Macaca mulatta: one gene and its partners. The protein of the gene in region 2 purifies or fractionates together with the protein of the main gene of each other region. This does not show direct contact. Links are inferred from orthologs where the notes say so. Each region holds a gene or a part of one and is shown on either strand. Other genes may lie near its edges. The genes, in order: VPS13B, CSNK1D, GAPVD1, SNX24, FAM83H, FAM83D and FAM110B.

The links.
Region 1: the proteins of CSNK1D (region 2) and VPS13B purify together in Homo sapiens (affinity purification with mass spectrometry; 3 studies listed by BioGRID and IntAct, counting the BioPlex papers as one, with this or other methods). This does not show direct contact. The link is inferred for Macaca mulatta from reciprocal best matches to the Homo sapiens genes CSNK1D and VPS13B.
Region 3: the proteins of CSNK1D (region 2) and GAPVD1 purify together in Homo sapiens (affinity purification with mass spectrometry; 5 studies listed by BioGRID and IntAct, counting the BioPlex papers as one, with this or other methods). This does not show direct contact. The link is inferred for Macaca mulatta from reciprocal best matches to the Homo sapiens genes CSNK1D and GAPVD1.
Region 4: the proteins of CSNK1D (region 2) and SNX24 purify together in Homo sapiens (affinity purification with mass spectrometry; 3 studies listed by BioGRID and IntAct, counting the BioPlex papers as one, with this or other methods). This does not show direct contact. The link is inferred for Macaca mulatta from reciprocal best matches to the Homo sapiens genes CSNK1D and SNX24.
Region 5: the proteins of CSNK1D (region 2) and FAM83H purify together in Homo sapiens (co-immunoprecipitation; 5 studies listed by BioGRID and IntAct, counting the BioPlex papers as one, with this or other methods). This does not show direct contact. The link is inferred for Macaca mulatta from reciprocal best matches to the Homo sapiens genes CSNK1D and FAM83H.
Region 6: the proteins of CSNK1D (region 2) and FAM83D purify together in Homo sapiens (affinity purification with mass spectrometry; 4 studies listed by BioGRID and IntAct, counting the BioPlex papers as one, with this or other methods). This does not show direct contact. The link is inferred for Macaca mulatta from reciprocal best matches to the Homo sapiens genes CSNK1D and FAM83D.
Region 7: the proteins of CSNK1D (region 2) and FAM110B purify together in Homo sapiens (affinity purification with mass spectrometry; 3 studies listed by BioGRID and IntAct, counting the BioPlex papers as one, with this or other methods). This does not show direct contact. The link is inferred for Macaca mulatta from reciprocal best matches to the Homo sapiens genes CSNK1D and FAM110B.

The regions. Positions count from the first base shown.
Region 1 is NC_133413.1:110,223,669-110,227,168, forward strand, and holds part of VPS13B (intermembrane lipid transfer protein VPS13B), read left to right. Parts: intron 1-529; coding exon 530-779; intron 780-3,500. UniProt on the Homo sapiens protein: Mediates the transfer of lipids between membranes at organelle contact sites. Binds phosphatidylinositol 3-phosphate. Functions as a tethering factor in the slow endocytic recycling pathway, to assist traffic between early and recycling endosomes.
Region 2 is NC_133421.1:91,982,589-91,986,741, reverse strand, and holds the start of CSNK1D (casein kinase I), read left to right. Parts: upstream 1-1,353; 5' UTR 1,354-1,678; coding exon 1,679-1,754; exon of another isoform or gene 1,755-1,780; intron 1,781-4,153. UniProt on the Homo sapiens protein: Essential serine/threonine-protein kinase that regulates diverse cellular growth and survival processes including Wnt signaling, DNA repair and circadian rhythms. It can phosphorylate a large number of proteins.
Region 3 is NC_133420.1:22,459,494-22,462,993, reverse strand, and holds part of GAPVD1 (GTPase-activating protein and VPS9 domain-containing protein 1), read left to right. Parts: intron 1-1,144; coding exon 1,145-1,988; intron 1,989-3,500. UniProt on the Homo sapiens protein: Acts both as a GTPase-activating protein (GAP) and a guanine nucleotide exchange factor (GEF), and participates in various processes such as endocytosis, insulin receptor internalization or LC2A4/GLUT4 trafficking.
Region 4 is NC_133411.1:131,973,238-131,976,737, reverse strand, and holds part of SNX24 (sorting nexin-24), read right to left. Parts: intron 3,130-3,500; coding exon 3,035-3,129; intron 2,260-3,034; coding exon of another isoform or gene 2,121-2,259; exon of another isoform or gene 1,989-2,120; intron 1,597-1,988; coding exon 1,564-1,596; intron 1,062-1,563; coding exon 997-1,061; intron 1-996. UniProt on the Homo sapiens protein: May be involved in several stages of intracellular trafficking.
Region 5 is NC_133413.1:154,097,724-154,101,816, forward strand, and holds the start of FAM83H (protein FAM83H), read right to left. Parts: upstream 2,801-4,093; 5' UTR 2,603-2,800; intron 1,891-2,602; exon of another isoform or gene 1,750-1,890; intron 1-1,749. UniProt on the Homo sapiens protein: May play a major role in the structural organization and calcification of developing enamel. May play a role in keratin cytoskeleton disassembly by recruiting CSNK1A1 to keratin filaments. Thereby, it may regulate epithelial cell migration.
Region 6 is NC_133415.1:91,796,915-91,801,061, forward strand, and holds the start of FAM83D (protein FAM83D), read left to right. Parts: upstream 1-1,347; 5' UTR 1,348-1,387; coding exon 1,388-2,050; intron 2,051-4,147.
Region 7 is NC_133413.1:68,832,377-68,835,849, reverse strand, and holds the end of FAM110B (protein FAM110B), read right to left. Parts: intron 3,372-3,473; 5' UTR 3,049-3,371; coding exon 1,936-3,048; 3' UTR 501-1,935; downstream 1-500. UniProt on the Homo sapiens protein: May be involved in tumor progression.

The DNA of each region.
Region 1 (3,500 bases), on a different chromosome or scaffold from region 2:
ACATCCATACTGTATGTTAATAGCTCCTGGCTTGCTCTCAAGCTAATGGGCCACACTTCCAGGGAGCCCAGGAGTAGCCATTGTTGGCACTGGCATCTCAGGCAGCACAAGAGCACTGTAGAGGGACAGGAAGGGGCTGCCACTGCCAGGTTTGGGGCTAGCTGCACAACTCCTCTGCTCCATACCTAACCACTCAAGGAAAGTCATACATTGGCAGAGAAGCCCAGTCTTGCTAGAGGGCCTGAGATTCCCTGTGGAATGGCCACTCGAATTAGAGGTGCTATTTCTAATGGAGAGAAAAGGAGCTAAGCAAAACCAAGGGAAATCTTTATTCCCAGGAGGAAGCAGGTTCTGTTAACCAGAATCAGTGTTTGAGAACTGACAATTACATTTCAAGCTAAAATGAGTAATTGGATTGGTGAGGGCCCTTTGCCCTTGGGGAGGCCGCCCCATTGGTAAATAATGAGTGCTGATAAGTGACCATCTTTTCAAAGCTGGCCCCTGGCCTCACTTTTCTCCTTTTAAACAGGAAAATGCTTCAGTCTCTGGGCAGACCAGAAGTCCACATGGCCCTGGACGTGGTTTTGGTGAGGGGCTCAGGCCAGGAGCATGAAGGGTGCTTGCTGCTGACATCAGAAGTGCTCTTCGTGGTGAGTGTCAGCGAGGACACACAGCAGCAGGCTTTCCCCGTCACAGAAATCGACTGTGCACAGGACAGCAAGCAGAACAGCCTACTCACAGTGCAGCTGAAGCAGCCAAGAGTGGCCTGTGATGTGGAGGTACGTTTCAGAAAACAGGGCAAACAAGACTAGCTGGCAGGGAGGTTGGAGTGGCTGCTGGAGACCAAGGAGAGCTGCTACCCAGAGAGGGAGTGTGGAGGCCAGAGGGCCACTGCAAAAGGGCACTGGGAAGCCCCCATCCAGATATGCACGAGCCCTGTACAGGAGAGCCCAGCAGGCGGCTAGCAGGACTCAAGGTCTGGGGCTAAGTCACCATGTCAGCTGAACAAGGCTGATCTGGCTTGGCCGTCATGGGGCTGGGGTGCTCGATGGACAGGACAATGGAGTTACAAAATGAGTGGGTCGGTACAGGAAGGGCCAGGATTGGGGCAGCAATTCCCAGCAACTGCTCCACAAAGGAGGCCCCCTTGTCTGAAAGCCTGAAGTCAGGTCCTTGGCTGCCTGAGGACCCCAGTTGGCTGCAGGGTGCTGGAGGTCTGTGGGTGCTGGAGAGGACCACTGCAGGAGCAAGGGGCATCATGAAAAAAGACTCTCCACTCCCTCCCCTACCCCCAAACCTGGTGACTTCAAGGGTCAACATTTTGTGAGGTGGTCTCTCTCTCTCACATCCACTGCTTTGTATTCTGTGGCTGTGTTCTTTCCCACAGGATGGTTTCCCACCCCATAAGTACCACAGAATCCCCCCCTGGGGATGATACTTAAGGCTCTTGGGGCAGCTCCATGGCTGGCTCCTGGCCTGCATAATGTGGAACAGATGCGCAGGCAAGGCATACTGGGTGTCAGGAGTCAGAGCTGAGCCCCGACCAGAAAGACCCCAGCTTCCTGTAGTCCAGCCCAGGGTAAACAGGTGCACCCACTGGAAAACTGCTCTGTGCTCTTCCTCCTTGGGTGATGGCCTGACCCATAAGACCCTAATTATTTACATAAGAAACAGCCATCTTTTTCCACACAGCAAGATGGTAGTGGATCAGTGGCAAACTGGAGTCTGCTGGTCCTAACCTGGGGACTGAGTGGCCCCAGCAAAGCACAGCAAACCTGCCCCCAGTAGGTTCTGCCTGATCCTCCTTTCATTATTCTCTTCCTGCGATGGGGGCATGTATCTCCGTCACACCACTGTTTGGGTAAAATTATCTGAGAAGATGGAAAGCAGCCAACCACAACAACTCTAAGATTTCTCTAGTTTCTTGGATCATGATCATAGTCAGGCTTTAAGCTAGGGTTTGGCACCAGGACTACATTGCTCCTTCAAGTTGATGACTTTCTGGGAATAAACAGAGGTCAGATGTCCAGGCTGACTTTATTAGATCTGCCAAGATCTTCTATCAGTTGACAATAAAGCAGCGGTGATTTGGCAAGGGATAATATCATTACAATTAAGTCTTTAGTCCTTAATGAGAAACTTCCAAGGCCCTGTGACTATCATTATTCCTTAGCTGCTTGGGAAATATTTCAGATCTTAAACTCTTGAGACTGGAGATTCTTTTGCTGTTGAACTGTCTTCAACTGTGATCCTTCTCTTGTATTTTTGTTTGAGGCAGGTACTGTGGAGAATCATCATAGGCTGGAAGGAAACAGACCTCAGTTTCCCTAGGGGTTGAGATAGTATCTGGAGTCACCACTCCTAAAAGTTGCCAAGATTATTGGGACTGTGGAATGAGGAAGCAGCACTGAAGCTCTGGATACCATTTTCAACACTGATTTTCCATTGCTGTCCAGGGCTGAAAGAGGGTTGGGATTAAGAAATGCCTAAAACAGAGGTGGGAAGACATGACTGAGAGCAGGAGCACTGTGCCTGCACAGCCAAGGCCAGGCACTGGCTGGAAAGTGGATGGGCCAATGCGCCTTCAGCCTCCACATTCTGCTTTCTCTATTCCACTTTCTGTCTCATTAATATTCCTATTAATGACTTAACGGGAATAACTGCTGCCGTAATCCTGTGTCTGTAACCCCAACCTCTCCTACTCACCCCCAAGAAAACTCAAGCTGCAGAGCATCTTCGAGACTAAACCCTCCCAACTGCTGTAATCCGGAGTATTTTCAACATGAGTGGGTGGGGGAGGGTGGCCAGCAGTGCTGTCTTGTCAGGGAGCTTTCTTGAGCTGTCTTTTAGTGCATCCCAACATAATCCACAGACATAAGGAAGCCTGTCTGCTGTGAACACTTCCAGTGAAGACTAAAAGCAGTATTTTAAGATCTTCTATAAATGACTTTTCTGGTTTTTAGCTTTTGCCTTAGATGCTAGGAAACACAGTTCCTTTGAGTTTTGGAAGGAATTAATTTGTAGATGACATCATGCAGTACATTTAAATATGGCAGGATTGAGATTTTTTTTTAAACTCAGCATTTGCTTTTCTTGGTTAAATGCAACCAGTTTAGGGGTAATAATTGCTTAATATGCTTGGCACATTATTGAAATCCCTTATGAGAGGCTCAAAATGAGTCAGAAGGTCAATTTATTCCTTGGCTGGGTTCCTTTCACAACACGGGTTTTCCTGTGCTGCTGTTCAGGAGGAGCAATTAAAACTTTTTGTGTATTCAAAGCTTTCCAGCTGAATTCTGGCCCCATCAAATGATATCAGAGCTCTGGCTTTTGCCTGGTGGTGCAGAGCTTTCATCTGTTAGTGAATCTTTGGGGACCGTTTTTCCCCAAGCTTAAAAACACAAGATCCAAACTCTAAGGGACTCCTTACTTATTTCTCTAGCAAGCCCCTTTACTATCTCTGTGCCATCACACGGACTTTCTCCAGCTGTTAAGACACT
Region 2 (4,153 bases):
CTAGAAATGTTGGGGCCATCAGAGCCCAGGAGGACCAGCTGAGGGAGGAGCAGCTGACAGGTGGGCAGGTGCCCCTGGTCAGGGAGAGCAGGACTCCCCAGGAAGAAGGATCACAGTCACCGCGGGAGAACTGGGCTCTGTTCATCAACAGAAAAGCCATGAGCGATCCTGCCAATAAGGTCAGTTCTACTAGTCTGGCAGCCCCCACCCCAGGCTCCTGTAACTCAGAAACTGGGCAGTTCCGACTGCCTGTGCCTCATTAGTGACTGACGGTGGTCTGGCCAGTGGCATCTCCTGTCTCCAGGCCCTGCTGTGTAACTTCAGGAATGGATACCTGCCTCCCCCACCCGACCTCCAGCTGTTTGGAGCTGAGGGGTGGAGAGGAAGGACTTGGGGGTGGAGAAAGGCGGGCACCACTGCGGGGCCTGCGGGGGCTGCTTTCCTCTTCTGCAGTGACCTGGACGGGCTGAGGCTGTTGTCTCACTCACGCTGTGGTGCCCACACCAGAGCCCTGGTATGCTACTGCCTCAAAACACACATTCACCTGTTTCACGTTCTTGAGTTTCAGCGAGGATGTGACAGGTCTCAACATACATGGACGTGGGACCATGGGTACGGGTTCTTCAAGGTCCCCATGCACCGCAGCCCAGGGGGCTTGTCTGAAGGGCTTTCTTCCCAGCGATGGGAATCAAAGGCCCCAATCTTTGAAGCTGGCCATCAGCCTGAACGTCCACTCCTTGTTTTCTTTTGCAAGGAGGAACATTCAGAACCAACACAGATAAGAATGTTGACTCGGTCTCCAGGCCGCAGGGACTGGCGGGAGGCAGGTGGTCTGGCCTCGTATTGTGAAAGGTGGTGGCTTTGCCCTTGACCTCCAAGCTGGACATCAGGACCTCCGAAGGCGTGGGCCCGCCCTGTCTCTGGCCTTAGGTGTCAGGAGGTAAGGCTGCAGACGCTGACGTCCTGGGATGCCCCAAGCCCGGGAACTGGTAGCCCAGTGAGGGGGTCTCCCCTGTGTCCCCTGAGCCTGGCCTGTCATTCTGTCCAGGCCTCAGCTACCTGTCCCCTCCTGCAAAAGGCACCGCCTGTCGCGAGGAACTCATCTGGCTTCCTCGACATCTCGGGGGACACACGAAAAGCCCCCGCGAGAGCAGCGGGAGACTGCAGGTGGAAGGGGCTGGCGGCCCGAGGTCCAGGGGTAACGGGACGGTGCGGGGCAGAAGGGCTTGGCCCTGCGCAGAGTTGGGAGGAGGCCTGGAGCGCTCGCCCCGCCCGGCCCCGCCCCCGAGGGCCAGGCCCCGCCCCCGGAGCGCCGCGGCCCCGCCCCACCGGGTTGCTAGGGGAAGTGACGTCACAGCGCGATGGCGGCGGCTCCTTTAGGCAGCTGAAGGGGGATTTAGGCCCGGAAGATCCGAGTCCATCCGCGGCGGGGAGAGGGCAAGCGGGGTCGGCAGGGGCCGGAGCAGCGGCGGCGGCGCTCGGACTGTCCCATCCGCCCCGTATTGAGGCGCTGGGAGCGGCGGGGTGACAGGAAAGCGATGGTGAAAGCGGGGCCGTGAGGGGGGCGGAGCCGGCAGCCGGACCCGCAGTAGCGGCAGCAGCGGCGCCGCCTCCCGGAGTTCAGACCCAGGAAGCGGCCGGGAGGGCAGGAGCGAACCGGGCCGCCGCCGCCGCCGCCATGGAGCTGAGAGTCGGGAACAGGTACCGGCTGGGCCGGAAGATCGGCAGCGGCTCCTTCGGAGACATCTATCTCGGTGAGGCCCCGCCGCCCCCGCCCGCCGTTCGAGGACCCGGGCCCAGAGGCTGCCAAGACCAATCGCGACCGCGGAAGGAAGTGGCGGCCCCCGCGGGGTCTGCGTGCAAGTCGGGGCGCCGCCGGGTCGTGGCCAGAACCCAACGGCCACTAGGCGAGCGCGGCCAGGGGTGGGGAGGGCAGTGGGGAGCGGACGTGGGGGAGGGGCAGGGCCAGGTCGGGGGAGCAGGGTCTGGAGGGAGGAGGGGACAGGGGAGCTGACCCGGGGTGGGGCATGGGCTCGGGGGCGCTGACCCGGGTAGGGGCAGGGTCGTGGGGAGCGGACCCGGGAAGGGCTGGGTGGGGCGTGGGGAGGCGGGCCTGGGGGAGGGGCGCCTGGGGGAGGGGCAGGGCGGGGGTGGGGGCAGCGGGCCGCGGGCGGGGAGGGGGCAAGGCCGGGGCGGCGGAGCGGGCGTCGGCTTCCTCCACGCCTAAGGTCACCGCAGTAAACAAAGGCCACGGTCTTTCTTCCGCAGCCCGGTCCGGGGCTGTCTGGTTCCCCCCACAGAGGCTGCCCCTGCGTCTTGCACGCGTGGGGGAAAATGTCAGAAAGACCCAAATGCCTTGTGGGAGTGGGGGAGTGGCCCGGCTAGGAGCGGAGCTTGCCCTCCGCCTCGCAGCCGCCCTGATGACTGACCGCTGGGGGTTCTCTCTCGCCTGTGCCCCTTGGCCTTGGAGCGGTGACTGAGTGCAGATGAGCAAGGGTTAAGTTTAGGTGACGGTAGAGAAAGTCACCCAGGGTTAAGATGCTGGCGAAGTGAGAGGCAGATGAAGTAGTTGTACTCATGAGCTGTCCTTTAGACTATAACAGTCTCACGGTAGATTTCAAAAAACATGGGATTAGAACGTTCTGGGGTGTGTCATATTTACAATGGAAAAATATGCACATGAACACAAGTGTAATGAAAGGTTGGCTTAAATCTTCAAGTTTGTAATTTTTTTTTTTTTTTCCTTTTTTGAAACGGAGTTTCGCTCTTGTTGCCCAGGTTGGAGGGCAATGGCGCGATCTCGGCCTCCCAGGTTCAAGCGATTCTCCTGCCTCAGCCTCCCTAGTAGCTGAGATTACAGGCATGCGCTACCACGCCGGGCTAATTTTGTATATTTAGTAGAGACGGGGTTTCTTCATGTTGGTCAGGCTGGTCTCCAACGCCCGCCCGATCTCAAGTGATCCGCCCACTTCGGCCTCCCAAAGTGCTGGGAAGCCACTGCGCCTGGCGGAAGTTTGTAATTTTAAAGTAACAATTTTCTGCACTTGTCAGTGGGATTGTGCAGTGCGCGAGTTATTCCAAGACCCCTTGCATTTGAGGATATGTAGCCTGAGGCGGTGTGCCTGCAGAGGGGCTGCTGCAGACCTTTGAGGGGAGCTGTTTTCTGTTCCAGCAGCCCTAGCTTTTGGGGCATTTGTCAGCCAGGGTCAGGAATCCCATGGGATGTCAGTAATGCCTCTGGTCATACCTTTTAGATGAACCCACATGTGGACAGTACCCAGTTCTCACTCCCTTCCCATTTTTCACCAGAGAGAGAACTCAGGACCCGGTGGGCTGACAGCGTTAGGCTGAATCCATACATATGGGTGGCTCATACTTCGGGTGCCTGGTTAATCTGCCGGGTAACCCCGTCATATGCCATGTTGTTGCTTTTGAACCTGTACATATGCCTTAGTGGCCTGCTGAGTAAGCAGGCCTTAGACATTTGGGTTTGACTGTTTAAACATTTATACCAGGTGGTCAGCTGGATGTGTTCTTGGCAGTGTTTTGGAAGTCAGGGTGCTTGGTAAATGGAAGTCGTTTGGCTTATTTATAGAACAGTAGATTTTGGCGAAAGTTTTAATCCCAGGATCTGAGTTACACTGCAAAGCCAGTCCATTAACCACCTTTAGGCAGGCATCAAAGAGAAGTATTTTGGGCCAGGCGTGGTGGCTCACGCCTGTAATCCCAGCACTTTGGGAGGCCAAGGTGAGCGGATCACTTGAGGTCAGGAGTTCGAGACCAGCCTGGCCAAAGTGGCGAAACTCTGTCTCTACTAAAAATACAAAAATTGGCCAGGCGTGGTGGTGGCTGCCTGTAATTCCAGCTACTTGGGAGGCTGAGGCACGAGAATCACTTGAACCTGGGAGGCGGAGGTTACAGTGAGCCAAGATCATACCACTGCACTCCAGCCTGGGTGATAGAGTGAGACTCTGTCTAAAAAAAAAAAAAGAAAGAAGTACTTTGAAACTATTTGTTCTCTTCTCTGAGACCTTGTCAAACAACTTTTGTGCTTTCCAAAGATAGAGTCAGACAAATTTTGGTGTGGTTGTCACCAAGTGATTCCAGAGGTGGAGGGTGGAAGGCTGTCTCCTCACTCAGCGTTCTACCCTCC
Region 3 (3,500 bases), on a different chromosome or scaffold from region 2:
GAACAGTGCTATTGTGGGCATTGTGTTTTTTTCCCCACATCTTTTAGGCCTATTTTATTTGGATTTGTTCCCAGAAGCAAAAAGCCTGGTTAAAGGATGTGATTCTGCAGGTCATTACATACTGGCATGTTGCTGTTGAGGACGGTTGAGCAATATGCTGATATGGACTTCATTTTTATTATTTTTTCGTACTTGAATATTTGTAAACTTTCTTGTGTCCATAAATAAACATAAGCAGTTTAACTGTAGCTGATATTTTTTTTTCAGACAGGATCTGGCTCTGTCGCCCAGGCTGGAATGCAGTGGTGTGATCTTGGGTCACTGCTGTCACAAGCCCCTGAGCTCAAGCGATTCTCCCACCTCAGCTTCCTGAGTGCTGGGACTACAGGCACACGCCACCACATCTAGCTAATTTTCATTTTTTTTTTTTTGTAGAGATGGAGTTTCGCCATATTTTCCAGGCTGGTCTCGAACTCCTGGGCTCAAGTGATTCTCCCACCTTGGCTTCCCAAAGTGCTGGGATTACAGGTGTGAGCCACTGTGCCCGTCCTGCAGCTAATTTTAATTTAGTTCATAAGAGGGCTGGACAGTTTTTAGGATCTACAAACTGATAATTTTCTTTCTTTCTTTTTTTTTTCCAGACAGAGTCTTGCTCTGTTGGCCAGGCTGGAGTGTAGTGGCACGATCTTGGCTCACTGCATCCTCTACCTTCTGAGTTCAAGCGATTCTCCTGCCTCAGCCTTCCAAGTAGCTGGGATTATAGGTGCCTGCCACCATGCCTGGCTAATTTTTGTATTTTTAGAAGAGATGGGAGTTTTGCCATGTTGACCAGGCTGGTCTCGACCTCCTGGCCTCAAATGATTTGCCTGCCTCAGCCTCCCAAAGTGCTGGCATTACGGGTGTGAGCCACTGCACCCAGCCCCAATACTTTTCATTGATTCTGTTTTGATATGAGGAAATTGTCCTTTGTACTTTTTAGTTTTGTCTTCCTTTACTCATTGAGTTGCTGTTGGTCTAAAAAATTTTAGCAATTCAGAGTGATCTTATTGTTGGGACTATAATCAACTCATATATCCATGTTTGGATATAGCATATGTGTTATTATTAATACTATTATTTTGCTTGTTTGCTCATTTTTTTTTAGTGCTGAAGCTTCCCCTGCTGAATGTTGCCAACATGCCAAAATTTTGGAAGATACACAATTTGTTGATGGGTATAAGCAATTGGGATTTCAGGAGACTGCTTATGGAGAATTCTTGAGTCGATTGAGGGAAAATCCTCGTCTTATTGCCTCCTCTTTGGTTGCTGGAGAGAAACTTAATCAGGAGAACACACAAAGTGTTATTTACACAGTTTTTACGTCCCTGTATGGCAATTGCATCATGCAAGAAGATGAAAGCTACCTCCTTCAGGTTTTGCGATACTTGATTGAATTTGAACTTAAAGAAAGTGACAACCCTAGGCGACTTTTGAGGAGAGGAACTTGTGCCTTCAGCATCTTATTTAAACTTTTTTCTGAAGGACTGTTTTCTGCCAAACTTTTCCTCACAGCCACTTTACATGAGCCAATTATGCAACTCCTTGTTGAAGATGAAGATCACCTGGAAACAGATCCAAACAAGCTAATTGAGAGGTTCTCCCCATCTCAGCAGGAAAAACTCTTTGGAGAGAAGGGCTCAGACAGATTCAGGCAAAAAGTTCAAGAAATGGTGGAGTCCAATGAAGCCAAACTAGTGGCTTTGGTGAACAAATTTATTGGTTATCTCAAACAGAACACATATTGTTTTCCACATAGTTTAAGGTGGATCGTGTCTCAGATGTACAAAACCCTCTCCTGTGTAGATAGGCTGGAAGTGGGGGAGGTCAGGGCAATGTGTACTGATCTCCTGTTGGCCTGCTTCATTTGTCCTGCAGTTGTCAATCCAGAACAGTATGGAATAATTTCTGATGCTCCTATTAATGAGGTAGCACGATTTAATCTGATGCAGGTATGCTTTTGCTATTATTATTAATGTGACATTTAGTTTAAAATCAGTTGATTGGGCTGTGGGGGTGGGAACAAATAATATGACGACAATATTTGTATAATCTTACGACATTTTCTCAACCAGCTCTAAGTATTTGCATCTTATTAAATAAAAGCAGTAATACTGGGATTTAAAACTATGGTGGTCACAAAACATTTTGTCTTTGTCTATTTTTTGAGGCGGAGTCTTATTCTGTCACCCAGGCTGTAGTGCAGTGGTGCATTCTCAGCTCACTGCAACCTCCGCCTCCCAGGTTCAAGCAATTCTCCTGCCTCAGCCTCCTGAGTAGCTGGGATTACAGGCATGTACCACCACTTCTGGCTAATTTTTGTATTTTTGGTAGAGAGGGGGTTTCACCATGTTAGTCAGGCTGGTCTCAAACTCCTGACCTTGTGATCTGCCTGCCTCGGCCTCCCAAAGTCCTGGGATTACAGGCATGAGCCACTGCACCCGGCTGTGTTTGTTTTTAAATGGAATCCTCACGCACTTGAATGTAGAGTTGATTAGATTTTCTAGAATAAGTCCACCATCCCTTTTCTATAATTTCAGAACCCAAAATGAACAAAAACTGAATGTCTTCTATACCTTATTTGGTAGCAAAACCTGTGCTGAAGTAACATGAGGCTATTCACAATTTTTTTTTTTTTTCACTTTTCTTTTTTGAGATGAAGTTTCACTCTTGTTGCCCAGGCTGGAGTGCAATGATGCGATCTTGGCTCACTGCTACCTCCGCCTCCTGGGTTCAAGCGATTCTCCTGCCTCAGCTTCCTGAGTAGCTGAGATTACAGGGGAACGCCACCATGCCCAGCTATATTTATAATTGTTATTCCATTTAGTGCTAGTGAATACTCATATTTTGTTGCAGAAATGTTGATTCATTTGATTACAAAATGCCATCTGTATATTGAACATGTTGTGTATATACACTGCATTACCTTTCTAAAATCTCTGAATTCTGAAATCTGAAACTCTTCTAAGAGTTTCGGAAAGAGGGTTTTTGGATGTATATTTTTTTTGCAATCATCTGAACGACTGAAGTCATGTTATTATTTCTTCATGGACTCTTTTCATCACACCTTATCCCTCAGATATAGTGTGAAGAACTGGTGTTTATTTAGAATAGACTATTTTTGGGTGATTTTTATTTTTTATTTTATTATTATTATTATTATTTGGAGACGGAGTCTGGCTCTGTTGCCGAGGCTGGAGTGCAGTGGCGTGATCTCGGCTCACTGCAACCTCTGCCTCCTGGCTTCAGGTGACTCTCCTGCCTCAGCCTCCTGAAAAGCTGGGATTATAGGTGCGTGCCACCATGCCTGGCAAATTTTTTGTATTTTTAGTAGAGACGGGGTTTCACCGTGTTAGCACCGGGATGGTCTTGATCTCCTGACCTCGTGATCCGCCTACCTCAGCCTCCCAAAGTGCTGGGATTACAGGTGTGAGCCACTACGCCCAGCCGTTTTATTATTTTTT
Region 4 (3,500 bases), on a different chromosome or scaffold from region 2:
CAGCAAAGGCAGTTCACTCTGATCAGGGTGCTACTAGGAAGGGTCCCTCAACCCTTCTTAGGGAGGAGTAGGACTGCGTCCTGGCTACTTTTCTTCAAACTGACAGCTAAGTGGGTGATCTGAGTATGTGCATCCTTGCTAGAGAGAGCAGTTCCCTTTCTCCTGCTCATAAGGTTTTATTGTCAGAAATAGGAAGGGTTTCAATGGATCATTTATCTATTACTATTTAGTGACTCCCAGAAACAAGATTCACTATGTGCAAAGAGCACAGAAGGAATACATAGGCAACAAGAGGTCCACCCATCAACCATCTTCCCTGGACCCCAATTTTCCCATTTAGCCAATGATAATATCAGCCCTGCTTAGTTCACAAGGTTGTTAAGGAAATTAAGTGAGATAATGTATGCAAATGAACTCATAAAGAGATGCATAACAGAATACTTTGAGAGGGACTCTGATGAATTTAAATTTCTTTGCACAGAGAAAAGACTCAGTCGAAAATATTGATTACAATTATACTTAAATCAATTAATTGTATTTAAAATATGCAACTTTCAAAAATATACAGTTGGCCATCAAAGATGCTGTAATCTAAATAGAAATGGAGATATGCCTGCAATGTATATATACATAGATTTTTCGGAAGAGGCATTTTTAAAAAGGACTAGATCCTTGAATTTGAACCCTGGCATCTGGACAAAAACAAGCAGAGGCCAAAATGACATGATCGGAAAAATTAAGGACCATAAATACCTTTCTGCCTTATTACTCTAATTCAAAATAGTCTGGTAAGAGAGAAAGAAAAATTACATTTCCTCCTGAAAGGCTGGCCTCAATTAAAATTCTAAATGTCTCTTACACCAAGAGCACTGGTTTATTGGCAGATTATTAAGCCCTGGACCAATGTCACTCTGTTAGACCTGTATTAAAAACGTGGTTTATGTGGTACAGGGTCAGATCAGTAAAGAGCTGTTAGCAGATGACAGGTTTGATTACCGCTGGCTGCAGGCAAGACGTATGGATCCCTGAGGAACAGCAGCACAGGCTGGTGGGACAGTTTGCTGGAAAGGTCAAGAACAGGCATGTCAGCATCAGGGGACGATGGTAAACAGAAAACACTACAAACTAGCTTTGAGGGGATCAAACTGCTGTGTGGGGACGTCTCAAGGTTTATGTTCTAACAGTGTGGGTGAATAATAGCACACAGAGTGAGAGCAAACAAATGGGCACTGCTCTCATCTTCTAAACATTTCTTTGTGGAATTTGAAGCAGATATACAATCTATACAATAAGTCATTGCTGAAACGTGCTTTCCTAAAAATCTTGTAATACGATTGTTGATAAAACATTCTGATTACTTGCATGAAACAATGTAGGGCTCTTATTCCTCCACTCTTAATTCTAACTGGTTACTCCTGTATTTCCCTATCAAATATTTATAATCTTAAAACCAATTTTCAAACAAAGGTTTTTAAGAAAAACATAACTTGAAACATATCATGGGTGATTAAACATTTAGCAAAACCACAATCCTATTCCCGGCTGATGAGGATTAGTCCTTACCTTGATTCTTCAGACTCTGTTTCATCAAAAGATCTAAAAGTTTTGAAAAAGGAAACAAACAAACAAACAAAAAAACCGCGTACGTTGAGTCAATGTTTATGCCAACAAAGGAAAAAATACCCAATAGTTTTAGATGACTGAATTGGGAGATATTTTTAAGAAGAGTTGTGAGTTTCCACTGAGCCACAGCATGGCTATGCCCCATCCTAAGGAATCTGAAGACTGGAATATTCTTTGATTTCAATTTTCCTGATAATTACTTAAAAATCCTCAGATTTTATTACTACTTTTGAGCTTGTATAATGGAGAAAACATTTCACTCAATACCATTGCTAATGTCTATTCTAAAAAATACATAAACATATACGAAGCCCAACCTCCCTGTAAACACATACAAGTTGGAACAGAACACACTGACAGCACATTATTTCATTATTTGCCAAGTGTAGTGTATAATTTTTGCTCTGCAATAAGTGGAAAGTGGCCCTGAGTAAACAGTGCTCATGAAGAGCTGTGACAGGTGTTTGCAGCCCCGTCATCCAGTGGATGGCTGGGGTTTAACATGCTTTTGGGTGTGGTCTGCTTGATCTTCTTGTAGTTTTAAGTGTGGTTCCTTCAGGCAGGTCTGGAAGCAGCGAGAATATGGGTACACCTCTCTCCTGCATGGATTTTGAGAGTTTGTGATGATTTGCTTCCCTGTAAATGGATACAGTATGCCATGGATGTTTCTGAAGGTCTTCTGAGGCTAGCTCAGCCCACGTCATGTACCTGTTGCTGGGCAAGTGGCTTGTTTCAGAGTTAATTCTTTGGGAGAGCTTTTCCCAATTGCTAATGATATCAAACCTCTGGGTCCCTGGGTTTAGGACCAATGGGTTTAGACCAATAGATAGGGATTAGGATTTGTAGTTCTGCCACTGGAAGTTCCTGAGAGAGACAGCTGGACAGTAGAGGAAGAGGGCTCGCCTTGGAAGGCCTCGGTTCTGCAAGCTACAAGGCAAGAGATCTTGGAAAAGACACTAAATTCCTGTGTCTCTGTTTGCTCAACTACAAAATGAGAGGAGTTGGATCAAATCATCTCTAAGGTCATTCATAACTTTAAAATTATATGAATATGTGTACCACCAGGATATGAACTTTGCTTGAGTTTCCACTAATGAGTCCATAACATGTTATCTAGATTCATAATTCCTATCAAGTAACATCATTCTATGTAACAGCATAATTGAAAAGATTGATTCCTTGAGTCTAAACATGGGTTACTGAACCATGGCCATTTGGCCACAAGATGGGTATGACGACTTCAGAGGAATTCTTTTGACCAAAAGCAGGCAGCGAGCGAGTGCTGTAGCAAGCCAAAAGAGTGGGCGTGGCCGGCAGGCTACTCAGGCATCACTCTGGGCTATTTGTTAGATCAATCGGTCATTGAAGAGTAATTTAAAATATACATCCAATATGCAAACATGATTCTTACCCACAACTTTCTGCCTTTGGTAGAGAGGGCAAGTGTCGCACATTTAGGAAATCAAGAAACAGTTTGGGAAGTTCTTCATTTTCTAAAATGACAGCCTGTGAAAGCAGAAAACAGAATTAGAAACTGAAGTGAAGTTTGCTAGGCAATCAATCAAATGAACTATTTCAAAAAGGCATAACCGTCCATCAAAGTTCTTACCAGCAACATTCCTCACAGTCAAGATGAGGAGTGGTCTCTGTTTTGCCCACCAGGAATTCAGGCTGACACACATGCTAGGGAGTGCTGGCAAATACTGCAGTTTATCTGTTCTTTCATTCAACTGGCATTTATAGAGCACCTACTATACACTAGATGCTGACTAGGGGACAAGACAGTGGGGAGCCAAGTAGAAATGGTTCCTGCCTTCATGGAGATTCTAATCCAGAGTGAATATTTCAAAACCTGGGAACATCAATAATACTGTTAA
Region 5 (4,093 bases), on a different chromosome or scaffold from region 2:
CTCCTGCCTGGGTGATAGAGACTGCATCGCTACAAAAAATGAAAATAAAACCAACCGCCCCCCAAAACATTTTATGACTGTTGGCTTAAAGACAAACATAATCCAGGCTGTATTCATCATTATAGTATTCACTTTTTTCTTAAGACATTCACAGGCCCCTGGCACTGTGCCTACTGGATAAGCTGGTGCCACCCATGCTGGCATGTGTCTGTCCCTGACTGCCTGGGAAACCGTGGGTAGGTCACTGCACCTCTCTGGCCTACCTCTACTGCACAACACAGCTGAGGGTCCACAAGACACCGTGCCTAGCCAAGGTGAGCGCAGCAAACAGGGCTGTGACCACCCTCCTCCTGGAATGGCAACCCTAAGCCCTACGCATAGCCCCGGGCGACACCTCCTCCCCATCCCCAGGGTTTCACAATTGGGTTCCCACAGCCCATTCTATGACTGCCCAGCCTTGCAACACTGACCCCTAGACTCTGTCTCTGTCTACCAGTCCCCCTCCTTCCCTTGACCTTTCTTGTCACTGTCCTTCTCAGATAACACCTCCCTGGACCACAACCCCTTGGTGCCCACAGGGCCCTGCAGGGCCTGCACTCCATATCGCCCAGATCTGGCTCTCCACTTGCTCAGAGTCCTGTTGCCACCAGCCCCCCGTCCAGGGCAGCAGGGACCTTTCCAGGTCCTGGGCTCCCCACCATCATCCATACTTGGCTGCCCCACAGCCCAATCTGTTCTCCAAAGGGTCCCTGCAGGGTGCCTGGCCTCTCCAGAAAGGTCAGATGGGGCGCACCCAGGGCCCACGCCTGGGGTCACCGAGCTACCTGGGTACCTCTCCCTGGAAGGAGAGCCCTAGGGACCGCTCAGCCCATCCCACTGCTCCTCGGGTTGGGGAGGGAGGCAGGACACCTATCCCCGCCTAGCACACAGGTTCCCGAATGTTGGCCCTGGCTGGGAAGGTGGTTCAGCCCAGACAGAGGAGTGTGCCCTGGGGCACTGACAGGATGGGCGCTGGCCAGCTGGACTGCACGGGTGCTAACCGGAGCCACTAGGCTGAGAATGTTGGGGTCAGGAGGCCGCCGTCCTGCCTGGTACCCCCGGGGGTGACATGGAGTTGGGACATGGGAAATACCTGGTGCCACTCAACAGCCCCAGATGCCAACTGGCCTGGGAGAAGCTGTCCCAACATTTCTTTGTTGGGGCATTGTCCTCATGGTTGACATATGGGGCTCGTTAGGGCAGATCGAGGCCAACCACATGGGGGTGAGGTGTAGGCCTGTCTGGCTGGGCCGGGGCGCCCACTCACCACTGCCAGCCTGGCTGTAGGGGCGGTGTCTGACCATACAGGGCAGGGGGAACAACCCTGCTAACCTTGTTTGAGGGCACTTCCCGACGCTGGGGGACACTCTAGAAAGGACCCCCACTGTCCCTTAGGATTTCACAGGGGAGGGATATCCACACAGCATCCAGGCTCCAGGCTGTGTGTAATGGGGGCAGGGATCATCTGGACTGTGGAATCCCCCGTTGCCAGGAGCCCTCCCAGCAGACACCCCTCATCATCACAGGGTGATGCCCAGACCTCCAATGGCTTCATTCCTCACATCGTGTCCTTTCATGGGTACGTGTCTGCTGGGCTATGGACGGGGCCGCAGACACTCCCAAGCCTGAGATGGAGCACCCCAGTGGCCTGCATGCCCACACATTTGCCTACCAAACGCTTGCCCAAGGGAGGTAGGGCACGGAACCCACCCATGGCCAATGACTCAGCACGAATCCACTCTTCTGCTGCTGACCCCTGACCTCTGACTCGAAGTCAGGGCCCTCAGCTGGCCTTCAAGGACCCCATCCTCTCCACCCTGGCAGGAAGTGGGGTTCCTGAGTATCTGGAAGGAGGACCCCATGGAAGGATCCGGAGTTCCTACACAAAGTGGGGTGAGCCTGTGCCAAGTTCCGATGGGCCCAGGAGGGCGCGGAGGCTCTAGGAGGCGGAAAGGTGGGGTGCGGAGGACAGGGCTCACAGACCGGAAGTCGCTCAGTGATAGCTTGCGGGGTGGGCACCCCAGCCCCCAACGGGGTCAGTGCACCCTGCGAGCTCGCGGCTGCGGCGGCTGGGTGCCCCATCCACCCACCCCAGCCCTGGAACATGGGCGCTACGGGCAGCCCTCCCGTCACTCGCCCTGCTTGCCAGGCGGGGATCCAGGCCGCACCCTGGCCACCCCAGTCCACGGTGGCCCGGGCGGGCGTCCCCAGGGAAGGGTCCAGGCCGTGCCCAGCACCCAGACTCCAGCTAGGCCGCGAGGGCAGCAGCGAGTCGGGACGGCCAGGCAGGCTCGACCCAGATCCCGGGCCGCTTCCCACTCGGCTCTTCTCGGGCTGCCGTCGTGCGAGGGCGCTCGCGTCCATATCCGCACAGCGGCGCCCCCTGTCCGAGCTGACCCGCCGCCCCGGCCCCGCGCACGCGGCCGCGCTCCACTCCCACCTCCCCTCTCTGGGTCGCGCGGCCCCGGCCCAGGTGCGGGCGCGAGGGTAGCCCAGGTGGGACCGCACCGAGGGGCGCCCGCCCCCGCCTCGCCCCGCCCGGGCCGGGGGAGGGGGGCCCTACCTGGCCAGGTGCGCGGGGTCTCGGCACAGGGGCAGCAGGAGCCGACCGCCGCCCAGCGGCCTCGCGGTCCGGTCGGTCCGGCAGCCACTCCCTGCCGCGGCCCGCCCGGCCTGATTCACGCGCCCGCCCCCGCCCCGCCCGTCGCTCCTGCCTCCTGCCTGCCCGGGCAGCACCTGGGGGCGGAGCGGCCCCACCCGCGGCGCGCCCGCATTCCTGCGCCCCGCGCCCGCCGCGGCCCCGCCGCCCGCCCCGGACCGCGCCCCCGGCCCGCGCCCCGACCCTCCGCCCCGACTCGCCCGTGCCCTGCGGCCACGTGCCCAGAAACCCCGGCCCAGCGCCGCCGGAGACCGTGAGGCCCCCACTTCAAAGGCCTCGACCCCCAGGAGCCCAACTGTTGACCCCAGGCTCAAAGTTCCTAGCCTGACCCCTGACCCTCGCCCCGGAAGTTGGGGTGACTCGGAAGTTCCGGCTCAGTCGCTAGGAAACAAGCCAGCCCGACGCAAGGGGCGGAGCTCTGACCTCCTCGCCGAGTTGGTGAAGGCAGGTGCGGCAGGTGAGGGCGCTGGGGCGGCGTCGAGCCCCGGGCGGGGCCGGGTCTGGGAGCCCCGAAAGCACAGGGGATCCATTCACCACACACCGGTCTCCCACCGCACCAGCGTCCCACACGTAGAGGGGATCCCGCCCAACAGAGGACCCCCAGGCCCCGACCCCCACCACACACACACACTGATGCCCACAAGTACCTGGGGTTCCCCATCTTTCTCCCTCATCCCTTCACATCCATGCCCACACTTGTAGGGGACTCTGCTGCAGTGACCCCCAATGCACATGCGGACCCCGAATGACCTGTCCCTCGTGTGCACCAACCCCCCAAGCACAGGAGACTCCTCAGGAAGACAGAACCCAACAAGAACACCCAGTCCTATCCACTTCAGTCACCCACAAACACGCTGACGTCCGCACACGTAGGGAACCCCACCTGCATATGAGAGCCCTCAGACACCGATCCCACACACAAACAGGGATGCCATATTCACACTGACTCTGAGAGACCAGGGGACCTCCCTCACACATATAGAACCCTGGGTGTACACTCGGGGACCCCGCGAAAACCAAGCCCCAACACGGACAAGGGACCCAGTGTGCACACCAAGCCTCACATACCAGACGCCCCCGCATGAACACAGCAACCCCACACACTACCCCGAGCTGCCCCTGGGTGCTCCAGAACCCCCAAATCCCCCTCAGGCCCTCACTTAGGGCCTCTCCCCCCACTTAGGCCCTGCCCTGCACTGGATTACCTGTCCAAACCACCACCCTTCACCCCTGCCACTCCCACCCCAAGGACTGGCCCTGCCTGAACGCTTTCTGATGGTATCAGTCACCTTTCTGTTTGTCCCTCTTGCCATGTGATCCTATTTTCTGTTTTCAGGGTCACTCCCAGTTTCATTTGTTCTTTCCCCAGACACTCAGTGACACCCCACTGGTACC
Region 6 (4,147 bases), on a different chromosome or scaffold from region 2:
TTTTTGTAGAGACAGGATCTCACTATGTTGCCCAGGCTGGTCTCAAACTCCTGGGCTCAAGTGATCCTCTTCCCTTGGCCTCCCACAGTGCTGGGATTACAGGTGCAAGTCACCATGGCCAGCCACATCTGAGATTTTATGCTGCAAAAGTAAGAAGAGAGATGGGGAGCTTTAGAGGAATGTAGAGTCAAAAGAGGGTTGTTTTAAGACGAAAAATATTTCAGCATGCGTGTAGGTTGATAGAAATGAATCAGTAAAGAGGGAAGCTGATGTTCCAGGAGAAAGAAGAAGGTTGCTGGAGTGATGCTGGTGAGTAGTAGAGGGGCTGGAAGTGCCCAGGCAGAGGGGTTGGGGTTGGATGGGCACAGGCGCAGTTCATCAATGCCCAGTATATGGGCAGCGATGGAGACAGGAAGGTAGACTAGATGGGCGCACGTGGACGTTCCCTTCTCACTGCTTCTGTGTTCTCGGTGACATAGGAGGCAAGCTGTCAGAGAGGAAAAGGTAGAGAGAATGAGGGAAATGTGGCCTACCAGGCAGTTTTTTTGTTTTGTTTTGTTTTGTTTTGTTTTTGATGGAGTTTCGCTCTTGTCGCCCAGGCTGGAGTGCAGTGGTGTGATCTGGACTCACTGCAACCTCCTCTCCCCGCATTCAAGTGATTCTCCTGCCTCAGCCTCCCGAGCATCTGGGATTACAGGCGTACATCAAGATGCCCGGCTAATTTTCGTATTTTTAGTAGAGACGGGGTTTCACCGTGTTGGTCAGGCTGGTCTCAAACTCCTGACTTCAGGTGATCCGCCCTCCTAGGCCTCCTAAAATGCTGGGACTACAGGCGTGAGCCACTGCGCGCCCGGCCTCCTAGCAGGTAGTCTTACAGATTATGAATGTAAAACATGACCAGTCAGTAAGCATGGTTATGCTCTTTTTGTTTTTTTCTCCAGCCCTGTAGGGCTGCCGGGGTGCAGGTGCAAAGTAGGATACAACCAGGGTTGGTTGGAGTTTTACAAGGCAAAAACTGATGAAATGAGAGAAGACTACCCGAGGGTGTAAGCAAAGGAGCGGTCCTAATATGATGAGCCGGTATTTTTTTAATGAATGAATACGTGGTTAAAGGCAGGGGATAAAGACGATATGTTTGGCCATACCAAAGCTCTGAGAGCCTAGGAGCAGCGTGGCCAACGTGTCTGGGAGCCGGCACCTGCCTCTCCTCACTGCCTAGGCCTGACTGTCCCTGGCCTTGTAGGGCCGCACTGGGGGGCGGCCGGCAGGGGGCGCCCTGGGATGGCCAGGAGCCCGGCTCTCCCCGCTCTGTCCCTGCTCTGCGGCCCGCCTCGCCCCTGCAAGTTTAAATTCGGCTTAGCAACCCCAGCATCGCAGCCAATAACGCATGAGGGGGCGGAACCGTAGAGGCTTGCGCCCCGCCTCGCTCCGCTATTGGAAGGAATGCAGCCAATGGGAGAGTCGAGGCGGGGAGGTGCGGCCAATGGCGCGGGCCTGTTTGATTCAAAGGTTGCCTATAAAGTGGGCCTGCAGGCTGGTTCTTGTCCGAGGGCTGTCGCGTCCGAGTGCCGCTATGGCTCTGCTGTGCGAGGGCCTGGACGAACTGCCGGCTGCCTGCCTGTCTCCGTGCGGGCCGCCCAACCCGGCCGAGCTGTTCAGCGAGTCACGGCGCCTGGCTCTGGAGGAGCTGGTGGCCGGCGGCCCCGAAGCCTTCGCGGCCTTCCTGCGACGCGAGCGCCTGGCTCGCTTCCTGAACCCCGATGAGGTGCACGCCATCCTGCGCGCGGCGGAGAGGCCAGGAGAGGAGGGCGCGGCGGCGGCGGCCGAGGACTCGTTCGGCTCCTCGCATGACTGCTCGTCTGGCACCTACTTCCCCGAGCAGTCGGACCTGGAGCCGCCGCTGCTGGAGCTCGGCTGGCCCGCCTTCTACCAGGGCGCCTACCGCGGCGCCACGCGCGTCGAGGCCCACTTCCAGCCCCGCGGCACGGGCGAGGGCGGCCCCTACGGCTGCAAGGACGCTCTGCGCCAGCAGCTCCGCTCGGCGCGAGAGGTGAGCGGCCCTCCCGGGCTCTGGGTCGCACGGGAGACCCCCTTCAAGAATGGGAAATTGAGGCCTGCGGGGAGCACAGGCCGGGGCGACTACCTCCTCAGCTCCCTACCGGAAGCGCGGGCCACGGGGTCCCGGGGTCCCCGACTCACACCCCACTCTGCGTGTCTTCCCCGGATCCCCCGGGCCGCTCCTGGTGGCAGGGGATAGTGGGGAAGCCTCGGTTCCCAAGGATAAGAATTGTGTCCGGGTTCCATCTCCTAACGTTCATATCCCTGAAGGAGGGACCAGAAGTACTCCCAGCTCCAAATTTCAGTTGAAATCAAACTTGGAAAATTGCCGATTTCCCTGGCTGTCAGCCAACGCTACATCCCACTTTCAGGAGCTTCTTAGGAGACTCATTACCAAAGAACTTACCTAGGGAAAGTTCCAGGAAGGTGGTCTCCAGAGACAACTACGGGGCATTAGGAATCAATTATTATTGCTAATTACTTTCACGCATCTTATGTTGTAAAAAGCAGATAAACACAAGTGGCAAAGTGAGACCCCTGCCGCTTTTTCTTTCTTGTCTTTTTTTTTTTTTTTTCTTTGAGACAGAGTCTCACTCTTTTGCCCAGGCTGGAGTGAAGTGGTGGGAACTCAGTTCACCGCAACCTCCGTCCCCGGGTTCAAGTGATTCTCCTGCCTCAGCCTCCCAAGTAGCTCGGATTACAGGCGCCTGCCACCACTCCCGGCTAGTTTTTGTATTTTTAGTAGAGACAGGGTTTCGCCATGTTGGCCAAGCTGGTCTCGAACTCCTGACCTCAGGTGATCCACCCTCCTCGGCCTCCCAAAGTGCTAGGATTAAGGCGTGAGCCACTGCGCCCGGCCCCCTGCCGCTTTTTCTACTGCCAGAGACTGGAGGGGAAATTTGCCGTTGTGAATGAAAGGGGCAAGGAGTTTTCCATAGGCTGGGTCTGTGCCAGATTGCAGTGGTCTCCTAAAATGCAGATACATTTGCATTAGATCGGCTTCTGTTTTGGTCCTACTGTCTGACTCAGTATGGCATGGTCATGGGCGCAGTGGAGGTCTTGTCTGCTTGCCAGCCTCAATGAAGCTGCAGCAGGGTGTTGGGGATCAAGGAGGAAGAAGGCAGCCTGCATGTGGGTGTGGCAGAACAGTATGGTGGCAGACACCTTGGTCTGGAACCATGGTCAGGTTGCTTGCTGACTGGCAGTGCCCGGCTTCCTGGCTGTCTGCCTGTGCCAGGGACATGGCAGATAAAGCCCCAGCCATGGTAAGACTTGCGAGGGCTGGTACATGAGTGTGTCTGACTGTGGGTGAAGATACCAGTGCATTGTCAGGTTGACATGTCCAAGTCCAAGCCCCAATTCTCACCAATGTTCTTAATATTCTTTCCCTGAATGGTGGGGTTGCAGTGGTAGTGGATACAGTGACCTAGTGCCTTGCTTTTGAGGGAGTGGTTGTGGGCTGCAGCTAGGCTTTTACCAGCCCTGAGGTGCTTTAGGTGGGCTGAGGGTTTTTTGATGCAGTAGACATTTTCCTTGCGGGTTCAGTGAGAAGATTAAAAAGATGGAAAAGGCAGACTTGTGTAGGTATGCGTTCCCAAAGCTCACCTCCAGTAGAACTTGAGCACTTGGAACCTGAAAAATGTAAAGAACTGGTCTATATAGTGAGAGCTGTGGATTGTTCTAGTCTTTTGCCCATCTCAAAATTTTAGTGATAGCAAAGGGGCACTGGAACCAGAGGCCAGAGGGAAATTAAACTCACGTGCTGGCCTGAGGAGGGGATGGAGCCGGGAGCTCAGACTCTCCCTCATCCCATGGGCGTTTTGTAATACTGACATTTCCAGATAGAACCTGCTGCCCTAGTCTAGCTACCCACAGTTCCCTCTGAGATGCTATATTTGGAACGTGGGCAGTTTAAACTGAGAAAGTTACCTTTAAATCCGATGAGTATTGGCTGGATACGGTGGTCAAGCCTGTAATCCCAGCACTTGGGGAGGCTGAGGTGGACGGATCACGAGGTCAGCAGTTCGAGACCAGTCTGGCCAACATGGTGAAACCCCATCTCTACTAAAAATACAAAAATTAGCAGGGC
Region 7 (3,473 bases), on a different chromosome or scaffold from region 2:
TGAAAGTCCTGTGCCTACCATGATACCTGGAAGGAGTCACTCACTCAACAAGTGACATTTTCAAGAGGAATGAAGGAAGGAGTGGAGGAGCCAGTGTGTGAAAACATGCCAAGGTACGGATGTTGGGATGGTACAAATAAAAACAAAGCCATACATTTCGAAGGTATGCCTCCAAGGTGAGAACGCATAAATATTTACAACTGAAGAGTCATGTGGAAGATGCAAAAAAATCCTGATGTTTAAGAAAAGACAAAAATAACACAAGTGTGAATTGAGATGCTGCAGCACATTTTAGGAACCCTGATGTAACCATTTTAGCAAAAGCACATTGCTAGAGCCACAATTAAGAACACTGGTGTTTGGAGTAATTGGAATGTGGTGAATATAACTTAATGAAATAATGTTTCTTCAAGACTATCAAAAATCTGCTTCTGATTCATAGTCCAAAGTCAAACTTTTGTGGAAGGAGAATACAGAAGGACAAAGAGAAACCACCACCATTAGTGCCTGCACCAGAGCAATTTATTAGTGTAACTTTTTCTTTTTTTTCTTTAAAGATTTCATAACAACTGAAGTATGTACAAAGTCTTACAGCATTTACACCATAAAAAGTTTCCTATTAGCTGATGAAGTCTAAGGTAGCGCTGCTGAGAACTTCAGATGTGGCAAAGGCAATGAGGCAAACCACTTGTAGGTTTCCCTCTCTGCTGCCACATCATAGAGTCAGCTGAGTGACAGCTAACTGTACCACCTGAAAGCCAGGTTATTGGGAAAAAAAGGGGACAAGTTGATAGGCAGCACTAGAGACCATGGGGTGGAAAAGCTACATAGCATTGAAATTCTACAGTTTCCTAGAGCTGTAACAGAGACCCACAGCCTGAGAGAGTAACATATGCAAGACAACAGAATCACGCTGCTCAGATATGGTTCAGCTACCAAGTGTGTTCACTTTTGAATGGGAGGCTCTACTGATATGGCTGGTATTTTCACTTCTGTTCATGTCTTCTGATAGCTCAAACCTGCACAAGCCTCACTCCCTTCCCTCAAATCAAATAACAACAAAGGGAGAAAGAAAGAAACAGCATGAAATTAGTAGTTCTCGACAAAAACAAACAAACACAACTTTTTTTTTTTTTTTTAAAGGCATTCAGTATTTGTTTTAGGGTGGCCATTCTGTCAAAAGATAGTATTAAAAATTTCTGAAATATCCCAAATCAGAACAACATCAACAAAACCCCCAAACACCCAACCTCCTAGATTTAACCATCCTTCATTTTATCTGATTGTCTTTCCTTGGGGTCAGCATTACACAGAACCACCAACATTTACACACTGAATTGGACACAAAACTTAGCATTGTTACCCCAGCGACACTTCACTAAGTGGCAAGAGAATTTCAACATGTAAACGATTAACGTCAGGCTCACCACTTTATTCCACAGAAAACCCAGCCTGGTTCTATGTGTGGTCAGTCACTATCTGTTTGGTAGCAGATCCCATTTACTGTCCCATTGGAATAGTCTCACATGTAGGCAAAGTGGCTTTTTATTTCAAAAAGATTCTGCTCTCAACTTAAAAGCCAGTTGATAAAACTTTTAATTAAGACATAATAGCGCGGGATATAAAAACACAAGAACCACATAAATATTGAAGAAGTCGTATACCATTTTCATGTAAACAGTTTTGCTTAAGAGCAAAGCCCTAATTAGATTCTGGCCTGAAACTTTTGGCAGATGACGCGTGTTAGGCCAGGCTCTGCAGCGATGGTGACGTGGAAGCCAGGTCAGTCCCCATGTTGACAGGCATGCAACTTGAAAACATTGCACAACAAGCAACACAAAGAGTGGAGAAGCTCACAACACTTCAAGGAGACCTCACAACCTTTACAACTGCGTAAGCACAGAGACCCACCCTCCCTCCTTTCCACGCACTGTCTTACACGTGGGAGACCTTCTGTGACTCTCTAGCTTGTTTGATGCTATATAACCACTTGATGATTCTGGCATTTCTTTCGATGGCAGAAATGCCATACGGCACACGGTCATTGGCACTGTCATCATTTCTAAGGTCACTGTTACTGTCCTGAGACTGTTCACAGTCTGAGCTGATCATGCTTGCGCTGCGGAAGTTGAGGGATATTATGTCAGAATTAGCCCTTGCAAAGTTTTCCATTCCCAGGTTTTCCAGCTCTTCCGGGTCCAGTCCACAGTAGTTGAAGAACCTCTCTACGTCCGCGTCCACTCGGAAATATCTGTCACTCAAGTCTGACTTAGACCGCTGGAGGGAGGGTCTTCGGCTGACTCCACAAGCTGGTTCCACAGGGTCGGCCTCGGGGGACTTCATGGTGGCGATGGCTGCGATTTTGGGCTTGGGAGGCAGGGGAGGGGCAGAGCTACTGCAGGGGATGGCCTTGAGGGGCTTCACGCTGGTCACCTTGCGGATGTCCGAAGAGCTGTGGGACACGTGGAGGAAGGACTCGGCTGACTGCTCCAGCAGTCTCCTGCTCACGTGGGAGCCGCCCTCCTGCGGGCTGCCGCGGCCCTGCGTGGGATAGACTTTCAGGGACTCCGCGAAGGAGTGACGGTGCAGGTCGGTGGTTTCCGACCGGTGGGGTGGCCAGTTGCGGGAGCTGTGCTTGTGCCCCGAGCCCGAGCTGGAGCCCTCGGAGCTATTGATGATATTCTTCAGGATCTCCAGCTTGAGGTTCTCCCTCTGCACGCCACTCTCGGTCTTGGCGTGGTTGCCAAATACTTTGAGCGTGGGGCTGCCCAGCGCGCGCTTGGCAGCCGGGCACACCGGGGGCTTGGCCAGCACGGCGGGCTTTACGGGCTCCTGCTTGGCGTTGATCACCTCCTGGCTCTTGACGTACTTGGCCTTGTCGGCCTCCAGCCTCTCCACGGCGCTGAGCCTCTTGGGGTTGGGCTCGGCCTGCCTGCGGAAGTAGTCTGGCCCCTTGTTCAGGATACGTAGGGGCACGGCAGAGGTGAAGGTGCCCGCGGGGCTGACCGGCTTCACCATGCTACCTGTCTGTAGGGTCTCCGTGGGCATGGTGGGCGGTCTTTCCCCGGCAGCCGTGTTGGATGCTCTTCTGGACGCCTCCGCACGGCCTGAATAGACACATGTACATGAAGCGCCAAGGGCAGCGGGTGCAGCCTGGGAGCGAGTGTCAGCAGCAGCGGCCGCAGCAGCGCCTCATCTCACAGCTCATTAACCGCCACGGTGGCTTTCATACACTTTTCTCCCCTTTCAGGCAGCCCTTGCACAAAAAGGCCACAAGCCACAAGTTCCTTTAATCTGCTTCGCTGCCTCCTTTCTTCTCCCTGAAGAGGTGGGAGTCTCCTCCAGGTCTTTGTGTTCAACTGCAGGCAGAGCTGAAACACAAAACAACCAACCGCGGGTTAGGAAGGGCGGGTGACATCACGGCTCTAGCAACAGAGAAACCCCGCAGCGCCCCCGCCCCGCCCCTTCGCGGC